Linked DNA regions of Oreochromis niloticus. The protein of the gene in region 1 purifies or fractionates together with the protein of each later gene. This does not show direct contact. Links are inferred from orthologs where the notes say so. Each region holds a gene or a part of one and is shown on either strand. Other genes may lie near its edges.

Region 1 (11,224 bases):
AATTATGAGTTAATCAGAGGCCGTTTGTGTGCTGCCACTGCCCAAGCAACACACCTGAGTTCATTACACTCAGCTGCCCCTCGGCTCAGTCAGCTGCTACACCACCCAGAGACATGTGGCCCATCCTCAGGAATAAATCAATCCCAAGTCTGTGCTGCTCAACCAGCTTCCTGTTAAACGCCATAACTGACTTTAACCTGCTGTGTTTAGTTTTCCTCCCATTCCATGATGTTTTTGTTTTTGTTTGCAAGAACAGTTTTAACAGATCAGATTTCCAGCCTGGATCTTATCACCCTGTCCAAGTTTCTTATCTTATCTTAAATCATTTTAACTTGATATGTAAAATGTTAGAAATGACACATGGCTGTAAAGTGAGCACTTTTAATTAACAAATAAAGTAGTCGGCATAACATGTGCTACTAAGCCACCGACAGCTCTCCCAAAGCTTCGTGTTAGCTGCTAGCATTTGTTAGAGGGCTATGCTAGCTAACAAAGCAGACTGGACTGTTTGGGAGTGTGAGCTTTAATAGGCAGGAGCTCAAACAGCGTACATGTACTGCAAAAATATGAAGTACCTAAAAACCTAAACCTATTTTAGTAGCACTCTTTAAAACAACTGGACTAATAACTCATATTGTTTCCCATCTATTCTGCTGTGTTTGCAGCATCCAAGGAGGACCACAAGAACAATGCATCATTCGTGTGTGTGCTGCTTAGTCATGGAGATGAGGGCGTGATATACGGCACCGATGGCCCTGAAAGGTTCGATACCCTGGCGAAGTACTTCAGAGGAGACTGCTGTGCGGGTCTGGTGGGGAAGCCAAAGCTCTTCTTCATTCAGGTTAGTTAATAATGCCAATTTGATACACTTCTGTGAATACAGTCATGTTTTCATTTGTATTTGATCAAATTGTAAAATATTTCCTTTGATCGTAATTTGCTTTGGAACTTTGATAAGAAGTCTAAACTCACTTTCAATGAGAAAAAGTTAATTACTACATGTTCCCAGACTATGTTCCCTTTCTACAGTTAATGCCACCTTAAAACGGGTGTAGCTAATACCAAATATTAGAGAGCAGTTATCCCCATTTCCTCAGGAGGCGTTGCCTTTTCGAGGCTTCCTTTCTGAATTACAAATTCCTCTTAACAATGTTACACTGTGTCACTGCACCATCTTATGGTACGCATTGGTATTACACCCAGCTCTACTTCAACATACCCTCCTGAGACCCAGCCGATTCATTATGTCCTCTGTAGTGGACAAAATGAGTTCAACTGAAAGATGCTAGTTTTCCTCAGTATTCAGGAGGATGACAGACACAAGTTTTTTCCTGAAATTCTGTTTTTGGTTTAGTCCATTCCGGAAAGTTATAACAGCTTTTAAACACAAGGATGTACACACCTGCTTGACTGTGACAACATGAATGCTTTTGGTGCTAAGATTAAAAATACATGCAAAAAACTGGATGTCTAGCTGTACATTACATCCTCCATCCACCAGAAACATTAGGGTAGTCACGCTTAGCTTATTCCCAGCCACCTCACCTGGAGCAGGCGGCTGGGTGGGGGAGGTCTGGCTATCTCTACTTGGATTAGTGTACCTGCGAAGCAGAGATGGATAAGTGACCAAAAATGAATGAATGGATGGAGCTTATGAAAAAGTACATACAAGCAGTTTTTAGCAGATTTGACTGGTGACTTTATACAGATGTTTATACAGATGTTTATACAGATGTTTATACAGATGTTTCAAGATTTCTGCCAACTGGAGCTTGAAGAAGGACTTTGATAATATCTGCTTCTCCTTCCTTTTCAGGCATGCCGTGGTACAAACCTGGATGATGGAGTCATTGAGACCGACAGTGGAGGAGACGAGCAGACGTCTGAGAAGATTCCTGTGGAGGCCGACTTCTTATACGCCTATTCCACCGCTCCAGGTACAGACAGTGTTTTCTGTTATCTTAATAGACTACATCACATTTTGGCTAAACGGTGGACTCACATGGAGGCCAGTGGGAAAAGCTGAGCTTTATTTGAACTGATGGCAAAGTCCATAAAAAAGACCAAAAAAAGTGCAAATAATACTTAATCTCCAAAAAATTAAAAGACAAGAAATGGCAGGTAAAAAATAGACACTTTGATAAAGAACACAGGAGAGACAGGGATTTACACGCTTACTGCGATAAGATCAATGCTTTAAGCTCAGTATGGTGCCCACATACAGAAATGGGACATTAAAATATATGCCTCAAACATGTCGGAGAAAAAAAAGGGGGAAACTATTAGGATAATGACGCAGGAGATGTCAAACTAAATGCAAAACACAGGAGACAATGACTACCAAAATAAAACAGGAAATGAAAGATAGCCACGGAAACAGGGAGACACTTAGATACAAGAACTTTACGGGATGAATAACAATAAAAGAACAAACTCTAACTGAGAAGAAAAGAGGAACAGGATACTAATGGAAAAAAACCCAATGAAACCAGACTTACAGAAACAATACCAAGAACCAGACGGCCTGAAGGAAGAATGGAAATAAAAACCAAAAAATTAAACACAACTCTGAAAACCGTGAGTTCAGAAACCGACCTACGTGCCAAATATAGAGACTTTTAACTTGAAAAGGCAACTGATGTAGGAAAGCAGAGTGTTGTGATCTATGGCATAAATCATCATCACTTCAAAAATTCTGGACACACTTTAATGACCACTAAACCTCTGTGATTTTTTACAATAACTAGTTTATCTTTTCATGGATTTTGACTCTGGAATATCTGTTTTTAATTTGTTGTATGAATAAAATACAACACTTCATTATATTCAGACGTCTTTCATGGTTCATTTTTGAGGTATATTTTTTTCTGCTCCAGTACAACCATTTATCTAACTGATTTTAAGTGGGCTGGATGTATAATTAAATGTCTTAATACGGCCTTTAGGTGATCAGTCTGCTAAAGTAACAGCTGAGATGACTGTGGCAAGGACCACATACACACACACACACAGCGTTGTCAGTTTGCTCAGTTTATTGTCTATGGCAGTAGATTCTGTTGTTTTGGTGCTCTGCACGCTGGAAACAGTCACTCCACGTTTTTCTGCTCTGCTGTCACTGAAAAAGCCAAGAAGATGTCATCTAACCTGACCCAGCACACCTGTGTTTCAACCACGCCTCCCTGTGAGCTCACTGTGTCGCCCCTCCTCTGCAGCAGGCCAGAGGCCACACCTCCACCACAATGACTCTAAACAATGCATTGCTTTCTCACTCACTGCAACCTACATGGCTCTGCTTGATGCTGCTGAGTCACATGACCACAGGAGATCGGAATGCAGCAGAGCAGGGAGGAGGGGGCGGAGCAAAGCGTGCCTGCATGAGAGGAGCATTGCTTCCACACACGTCTCCTTTCTGATGAATGAGAGCAACTTACAGGGGACAGACAAACTAAAGCATTGAGCGTATCGGGCTAGTATCGATCCAATACCAGCCCCAGTATCAGTTCTATTGATATTTTACTGCATAAAATGATATTAAATTAAATAGAGTACCATCGTAGTAATAATAAACACACAACTGAACTAAACAGATGCCCTCCCATAGATCATTGTTTTGTCACAGTCACCAGTCCAGCTACTTTATTAGTGTCAGGATTGTGTATTATAGTGAACGATCGCCTCCTCGTTGTTGTTTTCTAAGAGCACTAACACTGTCACCCTCCTGCAGGATACTACTCATGGAGAAACACAACCTACGGCTCCTGGTTCATACTGACGTTGTGTGAGATGTTGGAGTGCTACAGTGGGAAGCTGGATCTGATGCAGATCATGACGCGAGTCAACTACGGTGTTTCACGCTACTTCGAGTCCTCCAGCAACCTGCCTGGATTTGCTCGCAATAAGCAGATCCCCTGTATCGTCTGTATGTTGACCAAAGACTTTTACTTCCCCGTCTAGATTTACATGGTTGAACCTCAGTGATCTTTGTTCTCCTTGACCAAATGCAAAGTCTGATGCTGTGCTGCAGCTGATGCAAAGCAGGATGACAGTGATTTAAATGTGACTAAACCCATTTGCACAATCTGCACTTAGATTAGTGATACTTTTATTGATTTTAGTGTTGGATCAGTTTACCTTTTATATTTTGTGTGTTTATGTATGTTTGTATTAAAGTGAAAAAAACCATTAACAGTGTTGCGACAGTTTTGGGCGCTCCACATGTTTTCGCCATCTGTCGTATTTTTATGTTTTGTTGGCCTAACAAGGGCATGTTTTTGGACCTCATATTGAGAGTTCTAGTGAACATCTACCAAACTCAGGTTCAACACTTTGAATCATCAGTTCTTTCTGAGCTTTTGAAAATGGGAGGTTATGTGTAAAACATTTAATTCAATACATGTGTTAAAATCCTTGAATTGAAGCTGAAGGTCCGCACTTCAGTCACATCTTCTTTGTTTGATTTAAAGTCCGCTCTGGTGGAGTGCAGAAGCAGGAGTCCACACACTCACGGAGCTGACCATGTGACAGGCCAGATGTTTTGTATTTTGAACCAACTGTGTGAACATGCAGCCACTAGAGGAGGCCAGAGAAACAACTAATGTGATTCTCAGAGGCCTTTAATGACTCAGCAGTTTTGCAGAGGTTCCAGGAACTGAAACTGTGGCCCGGTTTAACCCTTGATGCATCGACCATGTGGAAGTGCTAATTTGAAAACGAGAAAAGAAATAAGACTTTCTGTTTAGACAGTTGTCAGCTTCTTCTTCTTCTTTTTCTAATTCTTCCGTTTTTCTTTTTAACCATCTGTATTCTGTGTATAAGGCAGCTTCTGTCTGGGGCCCACTGCTGTGAAATACAAACTCCTTGGATAGGTTTGTCAGACCCCTCCCGGGCTCAGCTGTGTGTGTCACAGAGATAACCCTGACCCTGTGGAGAGCTGGCACACACTTTCCATTTGTTGAGGATCAATTGTGGAGGTTGGAGCTTCTCAGACATCGCGTTTTCCATTCCCAGATTTTGACAAAGCTGTTTTCTCTTTGCTGTAAACAGAAACAGTGTGCTGAGTGAGTCACCGGCAGCACAAATGACACCAAATGTAACAATCATTAATGAATGGGGAATTTCAGTACGTGTGAGTGTGCCAGTGGAAGCCTTATCTTCAGAGTTTCCATTAAAAACAGACACATGTCATGCATACATGCATGCTGCTGTGTTGGGAATCTGTCGATCTGCTGCTAGCTTGCAGACATTTTCATGTGAAACTGCACAGCTCAGTTTCGATTCTCCTTTTTAAAGAATGAACGGAATCACTGCGTGCACTACTCTAAACTGCAGCTTGACTCTGGGACCCCACCGCCACAGCTACACACTTAGAGGAGAGACATTACAAAGGTGTCCTTTCCACACAACGGCAGGTGTGCTGCTGCCAACCCCTTAAACACACACACGGTTGTGAGAAGTTTCTAGTTTCGTTTCCAGTTGCAGCGGCGGAGAAAAAAGAGGAGATGTGGGGGCGACGGGGGGGAGAGAGACACAGAGGAAGTGAAAATGAAATTCAGCTCAAAGATCGTCTATGTCCTAAGAATAAACGTTCCGGGGGGGCGGTCATTTCCGCCGTGTGTCAACCTGCTTATACATTTAAACACGTATTTGCTACAGTTGGCTAGGACATTGATGTATTCAGGTACTAGTCACTGAGCTATGTATATATATCCCAGACGTGCAGACGTTTAATGTTGGTGTTTTGCAATGGCGTGGCAAGGTGAATGGTAAATACTAGAATTTAGACCAATTTTATTTTTAGGTGATTCTATCCTACGCTGTTCTGTATCAGAGCACGTGACTCCTGTGCAATCTGACGGATAATTATCCCAGAAAGTAAAGCTAAGCTACGAGCATTAGGCTAATCTTAAATGTCATGGTTGCCGCCAAAAAAACAAACAGATAACCCGCCCCCCCAAAAAGATAATAATAATAATAAAAAAAAAACACAACGGAGTGAGCCATCTTCGCTTCGACGTGTGCGAGCGCACGCGAGACTTCACGACGCTCGAGACCGACCCAAAGCGAGAGCACGAGAGCAGGAGGGGGATTTCCAGCTCTGGCCCCCACTTCCCGAAGCGGCCGTTGTTTTGCTTTCGGTCTGAATGCAGAAACAGAAATAAACGACGACCACACTTTCCCTTTTCCACTTAAAACCTCGAACACGTTAACCTGTCCGGCTTTGGCTGCTCTTCTTATTCCGACAGCGGGACTGTGGAGCCCGAGGCCGTCCAAACCTAACAGGTAACATCTTATTTCCGCATATTAACGTCGCTGCCTTGCGCTCCCCTGGCCACACTGACTTCCTACAGGGCGACATGACGGATCCCTAGCTCAAGTGAAAGTAGTTCTGCAGTTTGTCTCCGCGTTTCATGACTCGGTATGGGATTTATTTTCACTTTTGACTTCGTTGTTTTGGGTCAGCTCGGTGGCAGGCGGTAGACACACAGAGCGCGATAAACTTCTGACTTGCCCCCGCTGCTAAAGCAGACTCGACTCCAGAACAAACATGTTACTAACATTGGAAAGTCAGCGGTGATGTGGCTGTTTACCTGGAATTAGTTAATATTTGCTAGCATCCTCCCGCTATAACGTAGACTCTTTGAAGTGTACAGTGTTTATCTGTTTGTAACTGTGTGTATTTACCGTGTTATAATCTGAGTAGCAGCGGGACTGAGCCGTGAACAGTATTCAGGTCTTAGTGCGTGTCATTTACACTGAAAACACTACAAGTGTTATATTGTCTGAACTCCGTGACGGGTAACTTACCATGTTTAGCAGTATAAAAATAAATGTGCTATACACTGAAGAAATAATAATAGTAATACTATTAATAATTTAAAAAGTACTACTGATGTTATAATATTGAATGTTATATTCTTAAATGTACAGTTGGACTATATTTGAGTGTAGACACCGTTATGTACACAGTGTAAATACATATTTAAATTCTTCTTGATCCAATTTTTCCGCCATATCAGCAGCAAATGTTCCTCATTGTGCAATTAGTAAAAAGAACAGAAGAAAGCACACATATTGCCACGCACTGTGATGACATGTTGGTCAGAAATCAGTATAGTTTGCGTCAACGGTTTAACCGCATTCATTTAACCCTAAAGTCCCGCTGTGATGATTCCCTCTTCCACCAATTAAACATCTGCTTGTTGAAATGTATTCACACCATGTGCTGTTCTCTCAGAGGACTTAGATGTAGTCTGTCTCACTGAAAAACTGAGCGGAAACATTAAATAGTGCTGAGTTAAGTGAACTTGGCGAATGTGTTAAAATAGATCTGGGTCTTTTTTTTTTCTTCAATTGTCTTTCTGTTAGAAAATGTCTTCTGTCAGTGTCAGATACTCTGACATAAAACTGTAAGTTTTTACAGGTATATTTGTAGTTAAACTGCATGTCTGTGAATGACCAAAATATTAATATCCACAGATGTAATTTAAGAACAAAGAGATGCTCATATTTGTGAATGTGAGCGTGCTGCTTTTAACGTGTGAGGCAAGCTGCGGTCAGAACTTGGGTGATAAATGAGGATGAAGAGATGCCTGTGTCGTTTTTACTATTTATGAAATAATGAGCAGTCTTATCTGTGAATAAATAAATCATTTTCCTGTCTTGAGTCACTCGTGTGACTGTAAGTAACCTGTGTGAATGATTTCTAACTGATGCCGTGTGTCATGTAGTCTGTTGGGAACACCTGAGACTGTCGTCTCTCTTTGCAAGATCACCAAAAGTCTGCTTTTGAAGCGCACAGCACAGTTTGTTTGCACAGTGATCAGTGCAGCGCCCCCTGTTGCAACTGAGTTAAACAGCAGTGGCACATTTCATCATATGTAAACTTAATGTGCTTCATATATGAGATAAAAAACATTAAAAAAAAACTGTAGGATTACAGTGCCTTGAAGTAAACAAGTGTAAGCTTGCACGAACAAAAAGGTTTTGAGTCTGTTTTTGAATGCTTGCATAGGTGTAACTGATCTCAGGTCAGCAGTACCTGAAAGCACCCGCAGCATACTTGGATCTGCTTGTAGGAGCGTTTGCCCTGCACCTGATGGCAGTCTGACTGGGTTGTAAACAGTGAGCAAGTCAAAGATGCTTCAGGTGTGCAAACCACCGAGAGCTTTGTGCTGATCGGACTTTAAAGGTGAAATATCAGTTTGTGTTTGCTGAAGTCATTTGTGTTGAGATTTGGTGACACAAAGCTGCCTCTTATTGATATTTGCGGGGGTTGTTTAGTTTTCCTTTTCGAGCACCAGGGGCTGGGTTGAAGTGGGACGTGGGCCCTGTGTTTTGGCCATGTGTGCCATTTGTACTGCACTCCTTGTGTCTTTTTCAGCTTGTGTTTTCTGTAGTGATATTGTGAGCTTTCACTGAACAGACGCAGCTGAAAGGCTCAGCCTTGTTTGATATTTTGGATTTGATGCTGCGCTGTTTCACCTTGTTTAACCTGTTGGGGAAGCACTGCGCTGGCAGGGAGTGTCAGCCTGACTGGACTTTGATCACGTTTGTGTGCAGAGATCATCACCCTGCCCTTAAATCAAATGTAGCGGCATGGGTGGGCTAAAGTTTTCTGGGACGGTTATGAGCTCTGTTTGTTTTTTCCTGTTGTCCTCTTGTTCCATTGTTGTTTTATTTAAGGTGTCGTTCTCTGGAACAAACAGCGCGAGGCTGAGTGTAGAGCTACAAACATGAGCTGACATTTTTATTTATGAACCGTGTTTTATGGCTGCTGTTCTTTGCGCACACATTAAAGAGCCTGGCCAAGAGTCTTATCTTTACAAGCACACACAGATCTGATTCAACTGTGTTCCACACCTTACTCTGAAATGATGACTATGAATGGGGAAAAAACATCAGTGGGGGGCCTGCTATGCTCATTTCCAGCTCTACTTGAGTAGCTCTGGATGATTCATGGTTCAGAATCGTTCTTGTTTGTCGTTGGCTTGGTGCAGCCGCTCAGTTCATCCTGTGTGAAACAAGATGTTTTGGCTCTTGTTGGCACAGTGAGCACCACAGCAGATCACGTATTACAGCATTTCTATTTTTTTTTAAAGTTGCTACAATTTGCTATAATGTTTACAAAAAAACAAACAAAACCATCTTTGAATCCCAGTATCCGTACCAGTGCTCACACATTCATAATAACTGTACGTATCTGTGTGTGTGACTTCACAGACCGCAATGCCAGTAGAACGAATGAGGATGAGACCCTGGTTACAGGAACAAATCGAATCCTGTCAGATTCCAGGACTGAAATGGCTTAACAAAGTGAGTGTTGTTACACACACACACACACACACACACACACACACACTGTAACTTTAAGATGATGTAAACAATGTAAATTGTTTGCAGGAGAAGAGGATCTTCCAGATTCCTTGGATGCACGCTGCCCGTCATGGCTGGGACCTGGAGAAAGATGCTCCGCTCTTCATGAGATGGGCCATACACACGGGTATTGCACAGATTTAACTGCAGCCTCCGCTGCTGCTTCTCCTTTTTAGCGGTTCTCATTTTCATGCCTGCTACACACTGAAACACTTCTGTGATTAAGTTCAGAGAGTTTTGATTTATAAAATGCCTCCTTTTCATATCACTGGGAGTAGTGTTCCTCTTCGTTACTAACCTGAGTCAGTAACATTAAAAAAGGATCCAAGTTGAGCTTCACTTAAACAGAGAACAGTAGCATCAGGAAATTCTTGTTTGTTTACCGTCCCTAAAGTAATGAAGTCCTTTTGCATTTGTTTGACTCCATATTTTTTACCTGATGCAAACACCATGTGTGCTGGCTCTGTGCTGAACAGGTTGAGTATCTGCTCTCAGGTAACTTTGTTAGGAAGCACATAGTGTCTGTGTAAGGGTAATTCCCACTGCTTTGCTACAGCAGTAAATGAGAAAATATAATCTGTGCAATCTTTGCTAGAAGGATGTTCACACGTTCAGTCTGAGGGTGTGATTCATTTTCTCCTTGAAGACTGTAAGATGATGTCTCCCAGTCCCTTTTTACATTTCAGTTTGGTTGGTTTGTGAGAACATATGATGTAAAATGTCCAGCTTTTGCCCCTCGGTGGTAAACGACCCCTTTAAAATTCCCAGATCCAGATCAAGCATTAATCACTGCTAAGCTGCGTAAACCCTCACCTCGGAGTAATCCTGCTAACAAACAAAGCAAACCAGTCACATGACCTCCTTGGTGGATAATATTGGGGAAATTGTTACATTGTTTAAATATATCAGGCAAACTTTTCCATAGAGAGAAATGCTACTTTATTACAGATTGAGCTAAAAGCAGCTGCAGTCTTGTTGGTGGTGCCTGTACTTGATTGCAATACTTAATTTGACCAATAAATGGTCTAATTGTATCATATTAAATAAGTTTATGTAACAATACAAAGAAATATATGTTCCTTTTTTTTAACTTTCATTTGATTTGAAGTGAACATGTCAGATAATACAAGCTGCTGTAAAATTAAACAGCAAAAACTAACCAAGTAACTAACCAATAATGTAGAGTCAACAAGAATCTGTATGCATACTGGTAACACTGGTTAGCTCATAAATAATTGCCTCCATAGTGATGAAGCGCTTCTCTGAAATCCACCACAAAAAGACAAATTAGTGATTTTTTTCCTTCTTCTTGCATCTGAATCAGGTAAATACCAGCCAGGTGTAGACCGTCCTGATCCAAAGACATGGAAGGCTAATTTTCGCTGTGCCATGAACAGCCTGCCAGATATCGAGGAGGTAAAGGATAAAAGCATCAAAAAGGGAACGAATGCCTTCAGAGTTTATAAGATGCTCTCCTCCTCAGAGAGAAATGCCAAGAAAGGTGAGCGCTGCTGCTGTCGTCATAAATTCTTTCAGTTTTATCATTCTGTCGAAACTCAAATGTTTCCTCATTTTTGTTTGAGGTTACTGGAAACTCAGTTGAATGGTTTTTTTGTTTTGTTTTTTTTTCCAGGAAAGAAGAAGGCAGACAAGGAGAGGAAGTCCAAAGGAAATAAAGAGGTAGATAAACGTACAGGATGGCGATCACACCACTGCTAGAGTAGCATGTAGACGAATGAAAGAGCAAAGATAGAGATCCTGAAGCGGTGGTGGCGACCAGCAGCGTGTTGGAACAAACGTCATGTTTCTTTGAAATAACTAAGTGAATCCTAAACTTTAACCTGCAGCTGAT
Region 2 (11,081 bases), on another chromosome or scaffold:
TCAAAATTTCCCCATTTTGGCACTACTTTGGTTTTAAACAAGCTGAACAACCTATATGAAGCCTCCATATGAAGACCTCCATTTGCAGCCTGTAAATAAACAAACAGGTGGTGGAAATGATTGTTTACCACGGATGATGTGCACATAGTGACAAAATTATTACTGAGAACTTGATGGTTTAGTAATTGCATAGGGAGTAAACAACTTCTACCCTAACCTTAAGGAAGAGGTGCCTGCTAAACAGCTACTGGTTTAAGAAGAATATTTACTGAGTTTTGGTGAAGTGAGCTGAAGGAAAGCCTTCTTTGAACAAAAATAAATCTGTTCTTACTTTTTGTTGACGTTAAATCAGCTGACCTCTCTGGTTTTAATTTTTCACCATGTTATTAGTTTCAGTGCTTGATGTTTTTTCACTCCTCATGTTATATCTGTGTCCTGGCTTGTAATAAATGTATATTGATATTCAAATAGTTTTCAATAAAACAGCAGGTGCTGCTCTTAGCACATTGCGTATTTTACTCTTTGATTTTCTGTTTTAATGTCTCTATTCCAAGCAACTGAGCATGTGATGAAATGTCTTTATACAGTGTTGCCAGATTGCTATTTTTTTTCATGTTGTTTTATTGGATTTGACGTGTGTCATGTGTACCTGCACAGATGCTGATGGTGAAGGCAATTGGAACAATTCACAAGGTGTGTGTGCTTGTACTAGAATGGCAGATATAAGACTTTAAAATTTGAAAGCTATCTTCTTTCAAAGTCACTGTGGGAAAAAAAATCTCCATTATGTCACCTGTAAAACCTGCAGAATGTTTGAACACTTTTTAAAGATTTCAGGCCCTTCAGTTGCATGCCATGCACAAACATGTCCCTTAGCATGTTGTAGCCCACGCAAGGTACCTTTGAGACACGTGGTAAAGAAGCTGTTTGATGGGCAACGTTTTTTTTGCTATTATAGATCCCAATGCCAATCCTAACAAACGGCAGAGGCAGCCTGCTCTTCTGGGTGATCACCCACCTGATTATGGTAAACATCGCATAATCAAATTAGTGTGACATGTAGAAAAATGAACACTGCTCAAAATCAGTTACAATTATGTTTTTTGTTTTGCTTGTTTTTTCATCTTAAGGTGGACCACAAGGAGGTTATCATGGCTACAACGATGACAGCTACGGCCCCCCTCCTCCCCATCGCATGGGGCCAGGCATGGGTGGGCGTGGTCGGGGTAACCAGCGCTACGGTCCTGGATATGGACCGCCACCGCCTGAGTACGGTCCTCACGCTGACTCTCCAGTTCTTATGGTGTATGGCCTGGAGCCCTCTAAGATCAATGCTGACAAGGTCTTCAACATCTTTTGCCTGTATGGCAATGTAGAGAGGGTAAGTGAAAGCTGACTGAAGCATCAAGTCATTGTTTTGCTGTTAGACCCCATAAGTGAAGGGCGTTTATAATATTTTGCAGACATGTGACCGCTTAGCACGTGATACTAACTTGTCGGCCATTTTGGTTGTGTAATAATCTTGAAACATAGTGAAAACTCTACTAAACATTATTTAGATTAAATAAACTATGGCAACTATAAGTAAACAAACAAGTGTATATACTCGGAGGAAGTAAAACCCTTTTTTGAATACGATCACTTGAGAACAAGGCGATGCAGAATTTTGAAACTGATATATAAACTTAAATATCCTTCTAGCTGTATCTGCTAGGAGGCCGAGGGGTAGCACTGAATGCCGCCAGTGTTTTTTTTTTTTTGTTTTTTTCCACTGACAGCCAAATTCCAGTTTGCCCAGATGATCTTTTTTGGATAAAGCTTTCATTTCTCTAATGGTAGGTAACGCCTTACCTGCTAAGAGGGACAGATTGCTTGTTATCCAAAGGCAGCCAACTGGCTAACCTTATTGTTTTTGTTTGCTAACATTGCTAACAATAGCAAAAAAGCCTGTTGGTTATTGATGTTAGAAGCTTAGAAATGGAGCCCACTATGTGATGGTGTGGCTTACTGTTGATGCTGAAAGTGGAAGAAAGACGGGCATAAAGTTAACATCCTTTTGCTTCAAGTCCATCCTTCAGACAATCTGAAGGTCTTTTTTGTTTATTTAGAAAGGTAAAGTCCCATTGAAAAAAAAAGTCATCATAAGAAGTTGCATATTTAAATACTGTGTGTAGTGCTGGGTAATATTGTTTTGGTCTATTTTTCTTTCAGGTCAAGTTCATGAAGAGTAAACCTGGAGCAGCAATGGTGGAGATGGGAGACTGTTACTCTGTGGACAGGGCCATTACTCATTTGAACAATAACTTCCTTTTTGGACAGAAACTCAATGTATGGTAAGAACAACTCTCTGAAACAATTTAGAAACATCAGCACAGACTTTTTGAGATAAATTTCTCCCTTTAAAAAAAATTAAAAAAACAAAACAGATGCAAGACCTCTGGCCTTATTTCTTTCAGTGTGTCCAAGCAACAGGCTATTGTGCCAGGACAGTGCTACCAATTAGAGGACAACACAAGCAGCTTTAAAGATTTCCATGGATCACGCAACAACCGCTTCACCTCACCAGAGCAGGCGGCTAAAAACCGAATTCAGCATCCGAGTAATGTCTTGCACTTCTTTAATGCACAACCCGACATCTCTGCTGAGATCTTTAATCAGGTAAAAAAAAAAAAAAAAAGCAACAAAGGTTGCTATCTGTGATGGCCAAAAGCATCCATCCAGTGTTGCCAACTTAGTGACTTTGTTGCTATATTTAGTGAGTTTTCAGACCCCCTTAGCGACTTTTTCCTAAAAAGCGACTAGCAACAAATCTGGCGACTTTTTCTGGTGTTATTGGAGACTTATGATGACTTTTTCACGTCAAAGCACGTATCGCTCTTACTCTCAACATGCAGCTGGTGCTGCTGTGGGCACCTCACCCATGCGAAAACGCTCACAGGCGGCAGGTAGTCCTCACGCAGCAGTCGCCCCGAGCTGATGTCAGAGCAGGAGATATTCACCCCTACGCATACAAGCTGCAAATGAATTGCACATGAGTGAAGCCACTGCTCCAACCCTGGACTGTAACGCGGGGGGGGAGCAGTGGTAACTGTACATCATTCCAATCATTGCAAACTTAGAAATTGGATGTCCTTGCAGAGCCTTAACTAAATACATCCGATTTCGACTGAAGCTGTCTGGTGAGGCTTGCTATGTCCATTTTGATTGTTAATGGTTAAAAATGTTCTTCTTTTACTGTTACTTTTTGTGGATCAAAAGGTTTAAAACTAGTTAAAAAGACACACACACACCAAAACAGTAACTCCACCAGAGTGCCTATTTCGGGTCACTTTTGCTGTTCCCAAGTCCGGATAAAGGAGGAGGGTTGGAATTATTGAAAACAATAGTTGCTAAGAGAAATTTTAATTTGTAGTTCTAAATATATTCTATATGCTTTTAGGGTGTGTGTTTGTATTTTTTTTTAATTTTTTTTTTTTGAACTCACTTTGTCTCTTCCACAATGTTATTTCTCTCTCTTACAGCGTCTGTTACAATTACATCGGTAGGACCAATTATGCAAATTAGGAGATTACGCCATTTAGCGACTTTTAGGACAGCCAATAGCGATTTTCCTTACTGACGAGTTGGCAACACTGCATCCATCTCACATATTCACTGAAACGCGTTTCTGTGCTCAGGTCTGTGATGAACTTGGAATCAAGAGGCCCACAAGTGTGAAACTTTTCACTGGAAAGAGTGAGTAATATGTTGTAACTTGGTCACTAAAGTTATCTCATAATTTGGTTGTGCTGTTGTGTCCTAACTGCTTTTTAACACAGAAGTGTTATTCAGTATGGTAATGTCATGTGACACGACAGGTGAGCGGAGTTCATCTGGCCTGCTTGAGTGGGAATCCATCAATGATGCCATGGAAGCACTAGCTATGATGAACCATTATCAGATGAAAAACCCTAGTAAGTATTTAACATGTAGATCAACAAGCCAACGTGGTTCTTGGTATGTTGTACATTTGAACGCTTAATGACATTTTCTACATTTTATGATTAAAGTTTTTCTTCCGGCTTCTATATTCTAGGTGGGCCTTACCCTTATACACTGAAGCTGTGTTTCTCAACTACACACCATGCCAACTAAATCTTCCTTGAAACCATTTGTAATGTTTTCTGTCTTTGGATAGAGTATACTGCAGTTCTGTTTCACGTACCATTAAAGCTGTGTTGACAATACCTAGGATTAACGTGCTTTAGAAAATGTTACTTAAATTATAATTTTTTTTAAATAATTTATTTAACTTTTACCATGTTCTTCAAATTTTTGTTTATTTTGTATGTTCACAACACTATGTTTGATCGCCCCCCACCTTCTGTCTTTTGGTTATTAAATAAAGCCAACAGTAACCATAATGTTGCTAATAATTTAACCAGTGTCACATAATCAGAGATTGTTTGTGTTGTATAATTTCTTCAAATCCATTCTTGAAAATAAAATGCATTCTGTGAAATCAGTTTTATTCATATTGCTCCAGTTTACACTTACAGTGTAAAGCACCAAGTCAAATACCCTACAATATTATAGAGAAAACTACAACAATCAGACTATTTCTTGTAGCCAAACACTTGATGATGGTGGGAAGGAAGAAATCCCTTTTAACGGGAAGAAACACCTGCCAGGAAAAGATCGGCTTCAGCTGGCTGGGGATTGTAAGGGGGGGGTAGTTGTTATAACAGCAAATATACAAGCACTTGTATAAAATGAAGAGATATGGGTATAAATTTGGTTAATCCTGTTCTTCGTGTGTGGACCTGACCCAAGTGGATGATTAAAGAGTCTGATAGCGGTGGGAAGGAATGACTTCCTGTAATGTTCCCTCAGACAGCTAGGTTGAAGGAACCTGGTGCATCTTTCTTCTTACTGCCTGTCCTAACTGCCCTGCAGGTGGGCAAGGTTGCTACTCAGAGCTGTGTACCTGAGACCATAATAGGAATATCCACGCTCACTGACAACAGAAAAAACGATGAGCTTTCAGCTCACAAAGATTATTTACTGACATCATTTGGAACTTTGAGCATAGGTAAAATGAACATTCACTATTGTAACTTTTTATACATCTCAAGAAATGGGTATAGAAAAATATATCCTGGGGTTTGTTCGCTGCAAACATATTTGTATTGTCCTTATAAGATTATTCTCCAGAGTTATTCTCCTATAATATATATATAGATATATATATCGCTATGTGATCTCTCATCATCCCAGTGAAGCCGAGTTTGAAAACTCTCACGTCTGTGCAGGAAGTGGAGTATATATATGTTATGAGATAATATTTCTCATAATATGTCTCCAGCATTACAGCACCGACACTGGCTTTCCTCTGATTAACCGCAACACAAGCCATGTTTTCTGTCTCCCATCCCAAAACAAACCAGCTCTAGTTAAACTGAGGTTTCACGGAAAAACGTGTCCGACTAGCGTCAGTGTCTCCGCTACTTATGTATCTTGTCGCCAGTAAAGTAGTCCCTCTGAATTTTCCCCTTTAATCATTGTTTACAACTGTTCTGTTTCTATGTGGTCTGATTACTTTGTTGCTCAAAAGAAGTTTAATATTCAAATTCTAGAAAATAAGAAACAATGGCTTTAAAGAGAAACTACGTCTCCCATAGTGCTCTGAGCCCTGGCCGCGTAGGTGTTTCCGGTGTCTTATAACATTTTACTTCCTTCCACACAGGCTGACACGAACAAACGAGAAAGAAGACGTCGTTAAGTTTTAAATGTTACCGCCAATACTCGGATTTTGAACTTAATTTTTTGTTATTTTCTGTTGTAAAATTCGCGGTATGTGGCGAATGGTGTCGGAGGACTGAAGAATCGGTGCAAAACGTAGTCCGTAACGTGTAGGCCTCCGAAGAAAGTTTGGTCGAGGGCCTGTAAACAACATGTCCTCCGCCTCGCAGTCTTCCTCGAGACGGCAATGGTGCTACCTCTGCGACCTGCCCAAGATGCCTTGGGCTATGCTGTGGGAGTTCAGCGAAGCTGTATGCCGGGGTTGTGTCAACTACGACGGCGCAGACCGGATAGAACTCCTCATTGAAACTGCCAGGCAGCTGAAGAGCACTCACGGAGTTTTAGACGGCAGGTCCCCCGGTCCACAGCAGGGCAAACCCAGCTCTGCTGGGCCCCTTGAAGCGGGGCGGCATCACGGAGAGCGTGTAGACCGGGGGAGGGGTGAGTATGGGGCTTCTTCTCGCCTCCCCAATGGTCTGCACAGAGCTGAAGATGTAGCTTTGTCAGAGGGCAGCCGACAGAGCCCGAACACTCGTCGGGCTATGCCTGGGGTAGTTTCTAGTCTTCATAACACCATACCCCATGCCTTGATAGCTCAGGGGCTAGTAGCAACAGCTTCTCATGGCATTTTAACCCCATTAACAAGCACGAGAGCTGGGGCCGCTCCTATTGCCGTCTCAGCTGGCCCCATAATAAGCGACAGTGGCAGAAGACAGGCTGTGTCGCTGGGTATGGGACCTAGCACTTCTACTCTAGTGGGCATAGATCCGGCAGTGTGGAGGAACAGTGAAGTAATGGCTGAACTGAATGAGGTGGCTCGTAGTAGAGTGGAAGGGTGGCCTAACCGTCCCAAAGCAGTTCGGGATGTGCTGGTAGCTCTCAGCAGCTGTGTCCCCTTCAATGTGCGCTTCAGGAAAGACCATAATCTGATGGGGCGTGTTCTGGCCTTTGATGCTAGCGCTACTCCAGAGTTTGAGCTGAAGGTGTTCGCGGAGTATCCCTCTGGCTCTGGAATGATCTACTCAGGAGTTCCAGATCTGGTCAGGCAGATGTTCCGTGACTCTGCCAAAGATGCTGGTAAGGCAGTAAACTCTGGGCTGCGCTACGTGGAATATGAGAAACGGCAAGGGACCGGAGACTGGCGTGGGCTGTCTGAGCTGTTGAATGATGGTGTGCGTATGTTTAAAGAGCCCCCAATCCCAGAGGTTCTGCCACAGCCAGACCCAGTGCTGTCTTTGGCAGCTCCTGGACGCCCCGGACCAGCCAAGGGCACAACCAGGCGCCGAAAGGCTTCTCCAGGCTCTGAGAACGGAGAGAGTGAGGGAAGGGCCGAACACCCTGTGAGGGAGCCCTGGCCCCGGGGCACGTACTCAGGCATGGAACCTCTTCCTGGCATGGCCGTACCTCAAGAGGGCCCACCTCGTCTACACAACCAGCCTTCACCCATCTCAGCACTTATGGGAGTGGCAGATGGCCTGAGCTCCAGTCACATGGCCAGAGAGAGCCCCAGCATGTCCACAGCCCACTCCTCCTCAGCTGGGCGCCCCACAAGCAGCAGCCCCTCGACTCCCTCCACCTCAGTCTCCCAGGCAGCTGTAGGGCAGGGTCTGAGCACTGGAGGACAAAGTAACAACACAAACACTGGGGAGTCTACAAGTAGCACCCCAGGCACCCTGCTTTGCTGCACCCTCTGCAGAGAGCGCCTGGAGGACACTCACTTTGTCCAGTGTCCCTCAGTCCCGCACCACAAGTTCTGCTTCCCCTGCACCCGAGGGTTCATCCGCAGCCAAGGTCAAGGAGGAGAGGTGTACTGCCCCAGCGGAGAGCGCTGCCCCCTGGCCGGATCCACTGTGCCTTGGGCCTTCATGCAGGGTGAGATCTCAACCATCCTAGCTGGAGAAGGAGATGTGACAGTAAAGAAGGAGAACGACCCTTGACCCTCCATCCTTTTGGCAGTGAATGGTGAGAAAAACCTGAGAGGAGCAGACCTCCTTGTTTTATAGCTGAACTTTATCAGTGAGTGTTAAAGCAACTATCAAAAGCAGTTAAAAATAAATAAAAATGGCAGACAAGTGCAGGCATATGGTTTCACATGTGCTTTTATTAAATAGGGTAACTGCAGCCCAAATCATCATTTGTGTGTTAATATTTCTTATATTTCTTCAACACTATTCTAAGAAATTAGAATATCTTTGGTTGTAGATGTCAGACAAGGTTTTTGTTTTTTGACCAAATTGGGGAAAAAAAAATAATTTGTAGGTGCTAACTTTGCCCAACCAATTTCTCTGATGATTTCAGTGACACTGTTGAGTTACTTTCAACTCTTCCTTGTCACGAGGTGTCACTATGCCACATGCAACCCGAAAATGTATTTGTGTCTCTGGCTGGAATTGAACTAAGCAAATGTGTAAACTGCTACACTAGTGATTTCAGTGTTAGAAATGGTTGAAATCTCCTCATGACGACTTGATAGTTTTGCTGAAGTTGTGGCACACCCTCATCATCAGATCTGAGGTGCTCATATGACTTGGCCAGAGCTCAGACAGGATCCAAAGTGATGGAATAATACATGACTAAAACTTTGACTTCTGACAAGTTGTCTTTAGATGTTAGAAGGCACCACATTTCAGTGTTAGTGTATGTTAGGCATTAGACAACCTGATGTCTCGTTGGAGATTTCATGTAATCCCAGACTGACTCCATGATGCTGAGAGCAGGGCTCTGTGGGGGCACACCATCTGTGGCACAACTTTGTGTTTCTTAAAAATTCATCTACATGAGCCTTGTACTGTTTTTAGCCTCTTTGTTCTCTTTTAGAATTATATCAGATATCTTCTTGATGTTACTGTGTGAGGAGAATATTTTTGAATGTGGAGTTACCTGTATGTATTAGATGCATCTCAATATCAGGTCTGAGCTGTGGGACAAAGAATCCCTGTGTGACTCTGCTGTTTGATATTCTTACATGGCTTTCTTCTTTTTCCACAGTGGATTAAAACACAGTGAAAGCACTTACCTATAATCTCAAGCAGAGGTCCACTTTGGCTGTAGTTCATCATGTGTGCCTCCAAGAGCCGAATAACTCTGAAGCCCAGGAGGACCACTACACAAAGACCGGTAACTCGAGACAAGACTCACTCACGAGAGGAGGGAGACGTCTGCGCATCGGGGCTGCATCGTGACCGAATCAAGTCTCGACCCAATCTCTCTCCATCCTTTTTTAAAAAAACAACAAAAAAAATCTATTTATTTTTATTTTTTTCCTAGTGTGATAAAGGCCTCATTTCAAAAAGCCCAGGATTAAAAGCACACACTTTTCTTTTTAAAAATTTTTTTTTTGCTGTTTTTGTGTTTTTTCCCCCCCCCCCTAACAATGACAATCTGATCTTTTTTGTTGTTGTTTTTTGCATCCTGTCTGACACAGATGCAGGATACTTTTTACATGGTTTGACAGAATGATGCAATTCTTTAAAAAAACGAATGTTCAAAAAATGTTAAAACCATTGGGTCCTTAAAGCCAAGGGGAAAAAAATGTAAACCTACAATACATCACTTGTTATTCTCTTTATATTGTGTGTCAAAAATGTGAATTTTCTTTCAATATGGCTATGTAATTTCTATTTTTGATACAATACAAATTTCTATGTATTTGTTTATAGTGATGAGAAGACCAAAGATGGCTTCATGCTCAATGTAATTTTATTGTATTGTAGCTGTGTATGCTGTATTCACTGATAACCCTGGCATCAGTCACTAATTAGTTATTCTATCATACAAGTAAGCTTGTTTTGTCTATTTACTTTTTGAATTCTATGTATGGTAAATTTATTAGCATCACAATCTTCAATGGTTAACCCACATATTCATGTGATCTTAACAGGTCAATTCTACAATAAATGACAATGTAGTTAAAACTTAGTCATTTTGCCGCTTCTCTACTAATGACCCTTTGAAGCCTCAGTTGTGCATTTATATAAAACTTTATTAGATAAATATTTTTGACAGAAAAAAAGGAAAATCCCACACCAGCTCCCCGGCATAATTAGAATCTTTCCCACAAACCACTATTAGCAGGGTTGTAAACACACTGAACAACAATGTGTATTTACATGCACTTAGGTGTCCTGGCTGCAGTAGTATGAACAGCCTGAGGGGTGTACTATGAATAAAAATCAACACGTCCAGGCTTCTGGTAACACAATGGTGGTATTATCTGTTGGGCTGTGCTTTCTGCTTCAGGCTCTGTCGGCACACACATGGAAAAGGTGTGTTTTACGCATCGTGATTGTTCTTCCCTGTAAAATGATCGCTGAGTGACAGAGACATTATCAGCCAATAATACATTGGTTGTTTAAAATCTATAAAGAATAATATAATAAAATCTATAAAGAAAAATATGACAGTAAACTAAAACACTGCTGGTAATTCAGTGCATAGATGCGGTAAAACATTTTCATTTAAAGTAATAATTGTAATTGCCAAGTGTGCTCTTTGGTGCTGTTTGTTTTTAATGTGACAGCTGGAGTTCTGGAGCTTCAAAGTGGCTACATTTTAACATTAAAGTAGTGAAGTTGCTTTGATTAAACAGGTATTCTTGGTATGTGTTTTAGTAGCTGTAATTTCAGCAGGGTAAGTGAGACTTGGCACATTAGACTCGGGTATATAAATATATATATAAAAAAAAACAAACATGTTTTCTGAATCTCCAAATTAATACGTGCACATTCCCATGACAATGGAATGCATAGTTTATGCTTCATTGAGTGGTTTTAGTAAGGTACAACAATTTGCGTAAACAAAACATTTTTCCAGCAGACGATCTATATTGTGCTTAAAACATGCTGTAATATTGGCTTCCAACCCATTTTAAAGGGAAACTCCAAACATAACACCATGCTGATTTAGCCAGGTAGAAAAGCCATTTATGTGACAAAAAAATTGAGTTTAAGCTCAACATAGCTAAACCATTAACTTTACAGTACACCCCGCTGGTTACCCCAGAATTTAAGTAAATAGAAGCTGGTCTGTTACTGTTGAAAGTGGGAGGCCCCGATATTCATTTCGAGATGTGTGCACTCAGCTGTAAAATGCTATTACCCACTTTTGACTCACACGACTGATCTCTGGTAACCACATTAATGCTCAGGAGCAAAAAAACGTACATGTAAAAACCAAGCCAGCTTCTTGGGACTGGTGAAAATTTGCATTTGTGTCCATGAGAATAAATCACTCTGACTAGTGTCAAACTGTGCACAGAAAATGAGAAATATGTGTACTCATGACAGGATCCTCTAATCTGT

What was found.
Region 2: the proteins of irf2b (region 1) and interferon regulatory factor 2-binding protein 1 purify together in Homo sapiens (affinity purification with mass spectrometry; 4 studies listed by BioGRID and IntAct, counting the BioPlex papers as one, with this or other methods). This does not show direct contact. The link is inferred for Oreochromis niloticus from reciprocal best matches to the Homo sapiens genes IRF2 and IRF2BP1.

Annotation. Positions count from the first base shown.
Region 1 is NC_031966.2:34,355,942-34,367,165, forward strand, and holds the start of irf2b (interferon regulatory factor 2), read left to right. Parts: upstream 1-6,074; 5' UTR 6,075-6,279; intron 6,280-6,303; exon of another isoform or gene 6,304-6,415; intron 6,416-9,219; 5' UTR 9,220-9,225; coding exon 9,226-9,312; intron 9,313-9,399; coding exon 9,400-9,499; intron 9,500-10,696; coding exon 10,697-10,873; intron 10,874-11,005; coding exon 11,006-11,052; intron 11,053-11,224. Other genes in the region: caspase-3, read left to right, coding at 666-841, 1,817-1,937, 3,725-3,954. UniProt on the Homo sapiens protein: Specifically binds to the upstream regulatory region of type I IFN and IFN-inducible MHC class I genes (the interferon consensus sequence (ICS)) and represses those genes. Also acts as an activator for several genes including H4 and IL7.
Region 2 is NC_031975.2:3,514,928-3,526,008, reverse strand, and holds interferon regulatory factor 2-binding protein 1, read left to right. Parts: upstream 1-5,661; 5' UTR 5,662-5,933; coding exon 5,934-7,718; 3' UTR 7,719-7,743; intron 7,744-8,769; 3' UTR 8,770-9,699; downstream 9,700-11,081. Other genes in the region: hnrnpl (heterogeneous nuclear ribonucleoprotein L), read left to right, coding at 658-693, 959-1,027, 1,131-1,381, 2,212-2,333, 2,457-2,658, 3,678-3,735, 3,858-3,953, 4,076-4,134. UniProt on the Homo sapiens protein: Acts as a transcriptional corepressor in a IRF2-dependent manner; this repression is not mediated by histone deacetylase activities. May act as an E3 ligase towards JDP2, enhancing its polyubiquitination. Represses ATF2-dependent transcriptional activation.